2 linked regions of the Arabidopsis thaliana genome follow. The protein of the gene in region 2 interacts with the protein of the main gene of each other region in a pairwise test. Each region holds a gene or a part of one and is shown on either strand. Other genes may lie near its edges. The genes, in order: MYB52 and GATA3.

Region 1 (4,501 bases), on a different chromosome or scaffold from region 2:
ATCATCATCACAAGTTATATGAGTCAAAATAGTCTGCATGAAATTATAATTAAGTAGTACTGTATTAAAAGGATGTTCATTTGGTGGTACATATATTTAGGCACCAATGACATATTTTCTTCGGTTAATAATCAAACCTTATAATATTTGATCTTCCTTAAGAACGCAACAACACAAAAATTATATCCGACGATTGCAAATTAAATTCCACAAAATATAAAATCTTGGTCTCAACTCTCAAGTCCTTCTATTACGATAATTTATAGATTAATCCGGATTCAGGACACAGAATTTTCTCAGTACATACGCATCTTGTAATTTAGACAATATATACCATAGTCCATAGCCAAAATGAGTATAAAGTGAAACTAGGCCAGTTTGGAATAAATTTTTGGTTTTACTTCAGAATTTCAGTTTAAGATTGGTTTCATGACAAACCTTTAAACTTAATAATGTTTTAAAATAAATTAACTTCTGCTCAATCCTTTTTATCGATTGGTCTGATTGAATTTCTGTAAATATGAAGAAAAAAAAATACCGAATGGTGATGAGTCTGATTAAACATCCTTAAAATAAAAATAGAAAATTAGACCTGATAAAGGTGGAAAAGTACAACCTTATATTTGTTATACAAGAACATGTTTGGGATGGCTTAACTAATTTTCACATTTGGCTCAAACAAGAGCTCTAATTGATTAGTACTTTCTACATTATCTTTAATTAACATATGGTCCACCTTATAGTACATGTGGTACGGACAAATTAACATAAACCCTGAGAGGCAGAGTTTCCAACAGACAAAAAGTCGAAAAATGGAACACAATTCTCGTTAGGAATTCGGTTGTTTTGATCGACATCTTCTTCTTCGTCTTTTCTTGAATTATCTATCAATTCGTGTATCTTCGAATCCGTGTTTACTTGAAGAAAATTGTAGAACTCCATCGGTCGTTTAGTTTGGTCTATTGCTCCTGACAAATTAATCCATGTCCAAAAGTTAGTTTTGGAAGTTACACAAGTATGTAATCGTACCCACATGCAAGTGTACATCCATATGCATGCATGTAACTATGAAAATCATGATCGTTTCATACTATCTTTACAAAAAAAATTGATCAAAAATTAATTTAGAGTTTACAGAAAACAATGAATTTTAACCCATATAATCTATACAAAAATCGTTTTTTTTTTTAAATCAAGTTGTATACGAATTAATGCACCATTACTCATTTACTTGCACATTAATATGACGAATGTACATGTTTTCTATGAGTTCGTAATTTATATATGCCTATATGTATTCACACAAAATACAATATACGTATGGCTACACATGTTTTATCTTTGTGCAGCTATATTAGCTACATAAACACAGAAATTCAAGCCATATTATCTAATTACCTTCTTGTATTGGAGTAGTACTATTTCTGAACCCGATCTTTCCGGTCAAGAACTCTTTGAGGACTTGAAAATGATTAATATGAGAGAATTGATAAGGAAAATTGATAGCGGTTGTGGTTGCCAATCTTCTCTCCTTATCGCAGTCTTTATAATTACCAATCATCCCAGTCGCAGCCACCGTGCCATCATGGCCAAGGCCTCGTGGACGGAGCTTGGACCGTTCTCGGCCACGACGAGCCATGATGACGTGCCAATGGTTTTTAACAGCGTTATCAGTTCGACCGGGAAAAAATCTAGCGATCACAGACCATCTGTTCCCATGGATCCGATGAGACGCTAAAAGCCTTTCTTCTTCTTCCTCCGTGAAAGGGTTTCGGTTAATCCTAGGATCCAATTGATTAAACCATCTCAATCTACAACTCTTACCTGAAACCAAAAGATCCAATCAAACCAACATATATATTTTTATATAAATATATTAAACCCTAGTTTATATATGCTTTGTAAGAAATTAAAGAAATGACTTTAATATAAAGTCAGTTTTACCAGATCGACCAGAGAGCTTCTGAGCTATGGCGTTCCAATTATGAGGACCAAATTGTTCGACGAGTTCTCTTAGCTTCTCGTCTTCTGCAGGTCTCCAATGGCCTCGACTACACATCATTTTTTAATACCTCTCTCCTTTTGATCTTTATGATCTTCAATAAATCACAACCTATATATAAATTTATATATGTTGTTGATATAGTTAAGAAACCCTAGGTTTGATGTAGGTGAGGGAAGATGGGTATGTAGGAACAAGAAGAAAGCTGAAGAGCAACAGCACCATACATACATGTATTTATATAAGTATATTTATTTAGATATTATATAAAGAATTGAAAGTAATGAATATAATAAGATTCGTTAGAGAGTGAGGGAAAGTTTGGAGAGAGGTTTTCACCGGCGATTGATGCCAACGTCTTCCCTAACCAAACACACTCCTTTTAAGTAATCTACCCTTTTTTATTTTTCCATTTATTTCGTAATTTTTATATACATTATTTTGGTTTATGTGAGAGTTTTAATAATTGAGTAATTGATGAGTAATGAAAAGAAAAAAGGAGATTACACAGGAGGGAAGAGATTGCTTGGTGGGGTGTTTTCGTTAAACTTTCAACGTCTACCCTTAAATATATTTTTTTCCAACCTAAACCCTCTACTTCAGCCACCAATACTTCATCTACGTTCGTATAACCTTTTACAAGCTACATGTACACATGTATATTAATTATTATGGTCAGCTTTTTATATATGGACAACTTCTAGAATATGAATCAAGGTGGGAGAACGCTATAATTAGTTAACTACAATATATGGTTCAAAGAACGAACATTTAGATTGCAAAATCTATAGTTGCATTTACCTGTTATGATGTTGTATTAGTGTTACTTTGAAAGAAATAAATAAAACTTACATTTGTTAGTGTTTAACTACATAAAACAACAATGTTACAAGCAATGAAAATCTCAAAAGTCTAGCTATGTATATTACATGTGGACAATATTTTCCAAATTTATGAAATTTTACATAACCGCAAATTAAATCAACAATAAAAAATAACTAAGGCGAACTCGTACGTCCAGAATTAAGGGGGAATGTAACGGTTATTATTTCAGGATTTGTGGATCGAACTCGATGACTAAATTTCAACCGTATTGCCTTTTGGTATAACTAATGGACAATTGTTACAAGTTTTAAAATGGTTTTATAACTTCGAAAATATCAATACATTGTTAAGAGAAAAATACTGGAGGGGAAGGAGAGAGTTTGGTAAAGATGTTGGGGACCTATGATTTAATTGCAGGTCACGTATAAGTAGAATAAAGTAATTAAATATCGTTGGATATGTTTTGTTAAACCTTTCAGACCTAACCAAATGTTTTATTTTCCTTAAATCGGACCAACGTGGAAACCCTAAAACGACTCTGTGTCTTAATTAATTAATAGGTTAACTGACTGATATATCAGTGGCTTTGTACTTTATAAAAATGAATTTGACATCTTATTTGCTCAAACATATATTTGGTCTTCAAGCACATCACCAACTTTCTCTCTTGTCTTGTCTACGACGGTTGGCTTTTAATTTGTACTCTCAGTTCTCTAACAAATTTAAATTGAAAAAAAAAACATGAAATGTAGCATTGGTTACCGACTTCTATTTCATGGTTACCGACTTCTATTTTTAACATTCAGATAAGATATAATAACATAGCCTAAATACTTAAGAACATTAAAAATAAATATATGAAATATAAATAAAATGATAGGAATAAGTTGAAAACCTGAAAAGTGATGTATTGTACTTCAAAGTTCAAATTTTCCTTGAGATTGCTTGCAAAACAGTTTATTGAATATTTATAAGGATTGATTGGATATATAGCTTATAATCCAATCAACTAATCAATTCAATCCTAGGTAAGCTATAACCAAACTGTTTTAGAACTCATTAGTCATTTGCACGTGTGTAGGAACAAAGCCAAACTTAATTACTGGTGGAGATTAGTAGGAAAATAGGCAGAGTTAGTTGGGAAGGAAGTCAAATACAATCTTTCACAACTAAAAAGAATTTCTTCAAATAAGATTTCTTCAAATAAAGCAAACCGGATCCTGATTACACTAAACCGGTTAGGTCTATCAACAAATTGGTTAATCAGAAAGCAAAAAGGCAAAGCAAGGATGACTATTGAATCATGGGGATAATTAATGAGCTTGCTGGTTACAGCAGTGGGTAATATCTAGTATATATGTACAGTAGTATGTATAGCATCATTGCACTCACATCAATTAGTGACCAATTTGGGATCATCTCTACAATCAGATTCATGGACTACTAAGTGTGTCCAAACTCTGTTGTTGATCAACAACGCTTTGGAAATAGTGGTCTTATTCTTGCTTTTGATGAGAGAAAACATTTCATAAACTACTTTGGTGGTAGATAGTATATCAATCATCTCAATGTAAGCAGAAAATTATATCACAAAGCTCATTTCCTTTTTTTTGTTCAACAACAAAGCTCATTTAATTTCCTTTGTAAGATTTCTTAAAACTTAATCAATACCAT
Region 2 (4,451 bases):
CTTCAAAAGATCGTGGCACTTCTCGTATCTAAAAAGTGAAAGATGGGTTTAGTTTTTGGCTCTTTCATTTTGTTCTTGTTCTTACGAGAATGATTAGATTTATATCAATATCTTTATATGCTAAGAAACCTCTCACATTTTGTGGATGAACACTCTCTTTTGCTGCTTCATGTTTTAACTTGGATGTTTTCTTTTGTCTCCTGCTTATTCCCAAGCAAGCATACTAAATAAACTCTCTTTTTGTGTAGATACATGTAGCTTTATAGTCAACTTATTTTGAGTATGACACAAAGTAGCAATAAAACGGAGACAAGGCCACATAAACACATTAAAAGGATGTTTCCCTTAAAGATTGATATGCAAATGGTGAGATTAAACAATTATGCGGCAGACATAGCATCATACATTTGCCTAAATTTACTTTCATGGGGATTTAACGAAATCGTTTATCTACGATTAGCCTGAAAATTAACCTTTAGTAATTCGATATGTATAAATTAATTACATACCTAATTTTTTTTTTTGCTGAATAAATGTCTAAATTAATTATGCTTGCATCGATTATCAAATAAATATGTCGAATCTCAAGATTTATCAATAATATATATACTATATAGTAATGTTGGAGTTTTCAAGATGATTCTTCCATTTGGCATTTTGTTTACTCAAAAAGTCTATTTAAGCCACTACACATGGACCAAAATCATTCCAAGTACTAGTAGTGGTGGTGGTGGTCTTACATCATTAAAAACACACATTAATTTTGTTTATAGAAAACCATTGTTTACTTAAGACTAGTTCCTGAAACAGTTTCAAAATGTTAAGAAGCAAGTTGTTAAATTACAACACTACAGATAATGTTACAAAAAGTAGGTTTTACCTAAGTCTTATCTACCACTTGCTGCCAAATTTGACTGGGTCTGATTTAGTACTAGCTTCACCTGTTTCTTCACCCAACTCTTTACTCTTTCTTAATTCCAGAACCTTCCTATGAAGATTTGAGTGAATCTCATTCGAGAACGTCGGACTATCCGCCGGTCTGTATTCCGGGCAGAGCCTACCAGACTTAAACCGGACTCCACATGCATTACATAAGGTTTTTGGACCGACCGGACCGGTTCTCCACTGTGGTGTGTTGTTTGTGCCACAATGGCTGCATCTTCGTTGAAACACAAGGACAGTTTCTTGTTTCTTCTTCCTCAACTGCTCTGTTGCTGCATGTTGATGATTGGTTGAAACGAGTGGCCAAACACGACTACCGGTTAAACTGTTCCGAGACCGTTTGGTTCTTGGTTTAACCGGAATTCTTGAGAAGCTTGGTTTGGTTTTATGTGTTTGTGTTAAGAGAAGTGAAACTTCTGGTGATGAACAATCATCCACAACACGAGATACCCATTCAAGCTCTTCCACATCTTCATCCTAAAAATATCCCAAAAAAAAAGAAATCAAGAAAAATATAACTTAAAATCTTTCGATTATAAGAAGAGAAAGAAAAGGTATAAAGAAGTTTAGAAATTTACCGGCAAAGAAGGAAGTTGATCAAAGATGCAAGGTTGTGAACTAAAGACACAATCATGTTCTTGTTCTTCTTGCTCTTGTGAAGAAGAAACAGAGACAACTTCTTCTTCTTCTTCTTTTTGACCTTCTGAGAAATCGAGGAAACACTCAACGGAGAAATCTTCCGGCAAGGAAGAAGTTCGGCTTAAATCTTCCGACACAATCACTTGGTGATGTTTGAGAGATATAGTAGATTCTCCTCTTAGACTTGCCTTTAAGGCTCTAGCTTCTGTCCACAGCTCCATTCACTCTTTAACACATACACACATACATATAGAATTCTTTTTAAGTTTCACTTGACATACTCTGAATTCTCAACTATTACAACAACCATAAACATACGAAAATAGGCTTAAAACTAAAGTTTATAACCTATAACAAAGTCGGCGCATGCAAACTTTCGAGAAACTAAAAAGATGAGAAGAGGAGAGAGGTATGTGGGATATGCTCATCGTATCTCTTTACCTGACAAAGACGAAGAAGAAGGAGAAAAGCTGAGAGAATGGCGAAGAAACAGAGGAAGAGAGATATTCCGATAAGAGAAAAGTAAGAGGGCACTGAACTTAAAGGAGGATTCTTGAAGGGGTTAAAAGGTAAAACAGAGACTTTTTTTTTGTGTGTGTTTGTGCTTCTTCCAATTCCAAAAGTTAAAGCTCTTTTTTCCTATCTTTTTTTTTTGTTTTCTTTTCCCCTAATTTCTAAGTTTGTGGAATATTACAAAATCTTCTTTCACGAATGATACTATATTGGTATTTCAGAATCAATGCTTTTCCTCTTCTTTATTTGTCTCTTCATTTTCGTGTTAAACGGTGTGTCCTTTATTTCAATGTAAAATATGGATCAGCTTAATAAAAGATCAGGATCAAGTCTAATCCACTCGCCTCTATATTTCATTTAAAGCTCACAAGACTTGTTAAGAAATTGTTTGCATACATGAAAAATTAATTGATTATTCAATTTTTGTATTTAGAAGAAAATAAAAGAGATAAAAAAAAGTGATGATTTCTTTTTATTTTCACGTCAGGATTTGTTTTATTTTCTCCAAATTTCTTTGGACCTAATCAATGAGTTCTTTACGTGGATGTTTTTGGCGTGGGCTTATCCTTCGTCACATATTGATAAGTCAGGTCTGTTTCGCATTATTCAATACAAATTTGATTGTTTTTATTATAATTATTGTGAAGGGTTATATCATGATGCTGTGTTCCTTGTCCATGCCAATTTAGCTTGTCTTGTCAAAAGGGTTGACCATTTCTTCTTAGGAAATGTTGAAACATTAAGTTTTACAATGGTGATGAATTTGTTATTTCATAGTACTAACATTAACAATTTAATAGTATACATGCACAATATTTTGCTTGTCGTGTTAAAACTAGTATTATTGAAAGTCACCGATTAAACCTGTGATCTTTTTTGAAAATTTTAAAAATTTTGATATCTAACTAAAGGACCAAATGAAATTAACAAAGTGATAAGAACAATCCAATAATAGCTCAATTCTATACTAATACAATAATAGCTCAAAATTTAATAAAATACAAAGCATGAAATTTATAGAAAGCATCCAATTTTTTTATTTTTTTTGTCAAACAACATAAAATCATCCAATCTAGAATCTTAAAATTGAGTTAGATGTCCCATATACTGCGTCTGAATATAGATAAGAAATTTCATTCAGTCATGAATTTAAGAATATAAAATAATTCATGAAGCAAAATTAATTTTTACATGCATTACCAAGGATATATAAGATTATTTTCGCATTTGTTATGAGAACTGGCAAATGACAAACAAGTATTACGCGATTATAAAACAAACATTGCCATGCAGTCGGTGATGTCCACATATGATCTAGCCAATCTTCTATGTTATGCTATTTTTGGCATTAGATATGAGATTAGGTAACCCAAAGGAGAAAACATTTTTCCGATAAGATACATTAAGTTCATACCCTAATACCAAATCTCATATTGATTACATTTTATGGAAAATTACAGGATAGATATAATAATATCTGAATCCTATTAGAGATGTCAATTTGGATTAAGTCGATGTGTTAAAAACCAAATTAAGATTATCTCTACCGAAACCCCTTGAACCTTTTACAACTTTCCAAACACACAAATTTTTTATAAATAAAATAAAATAAAAACAAATGTTGATTTCAAATTCGATTCAAACACCCAAAAACAAGAGCATAAATAAAGTTCCTTTTAACCCACATTACGCAAAGAAAGAAAAAAAAAAAGAAGTGTGGGTTTTTGGTAGTGATGGGAATGGAGATGGTGCAAACCACCGTTGGAGTGGAGTTCACCAAAGCAACCACTATAGCCAAATCTTTTGAACATTTTATTTTTATTTTTAATAACTATCAAAGTATACTACTTTCCTTCCAATTATGAAATCTTTCCTTTTTAGTATAATTGGTCTTAGTCTTAAAACAAGATTAGGGTTTGGTTTTTTCGAAAGAGTAGTTACGATCACTTAGTTTGGTGGTATATTTTTTTCTGCCAACCTTAGTTTATTGTGTGTGTGGGACTTTATACTCGTGTCGCTATATACACATTGATATGTTTTGAAGATTTTTTATTTTGAAAGTTGGTATATATTCCATTTTAACTTATTTTGATTTTCGTAAAATTAGGGGGAAAACAGAAAAGTTTGAAAAGGGAGCAGGCTGGTGAGGAGTGACGAGAGCGTAATGGGGGAAAAGAGAACGTGTCACATTTTCCTCTTATTCGTCGATTCACGACGCATCATCATCATCACTCTTTCCCTTTTCTTATCTTTTATAAAACATGGAGTAGTTTTTATCATTTTTGACGTCAAGAAAATGGGAGAGAGTTTCAAGTCCTGTAATCAATGCAAGTGGTTTTTGAGTTAATGATTCTTGT

The links.
Region 1: the proteins of GATA3 (region 2) and MYB52 interact in a two-hybrid assay, tested with the Arabidopsis thaliana proteins (one large-scale study listed by BioGRID).

What each region holds. Positions count from the first base shown.
Region 1 is NC_003070.9:6,175,325-6,179,825, reverse strand, and holds MYB52 (myb domain protein 52), read right to left. Parts: upstream 2,346-4,501; 5' UTR 2,063-2,345; coding exon 1,945-2,062; intron 1,825-1,944; coding exon 1,399-1,824; intron 969-1,398; coding exon 763-968; 3' UTR 537-762; downstream 1-536. UniProt on the Arabidopsis thaliana protein: Transcription factor that confers sensitivity to abscisic acid (ABA) and salt, but tolerance to drought. Regulates secondary cell wall (SCW) biosynthesis, especially in interfascicular and xylary fibers.
Region 2 is NC_003075.7:16,551,051-16,555,501, reverse strand, and holds GATA3 (GATA transcription factor 3), read right to left. Parts: upstream 2,358-4,451; 5' UTR 2,023-2,357; exon of another isoform or gene 1,808-2,022; 5' UTR 1,803-1,807; coding exon 1,521-1,802; intron 1,420-1,520; coding exon 892-1,419; 3' UTR 630-891; downstream 1-629. Other genes in the region: AT4G34690 (uncharacterized protein), read left to right, coding at 1-39. UniProt on the Arabidopsis thaliana protein: Transcriptional activator that specifically binds 5'-GATA-3' or 5'-GAT-3' motifs within gene promoters. May be involved in the regulation of some light-responsive genes.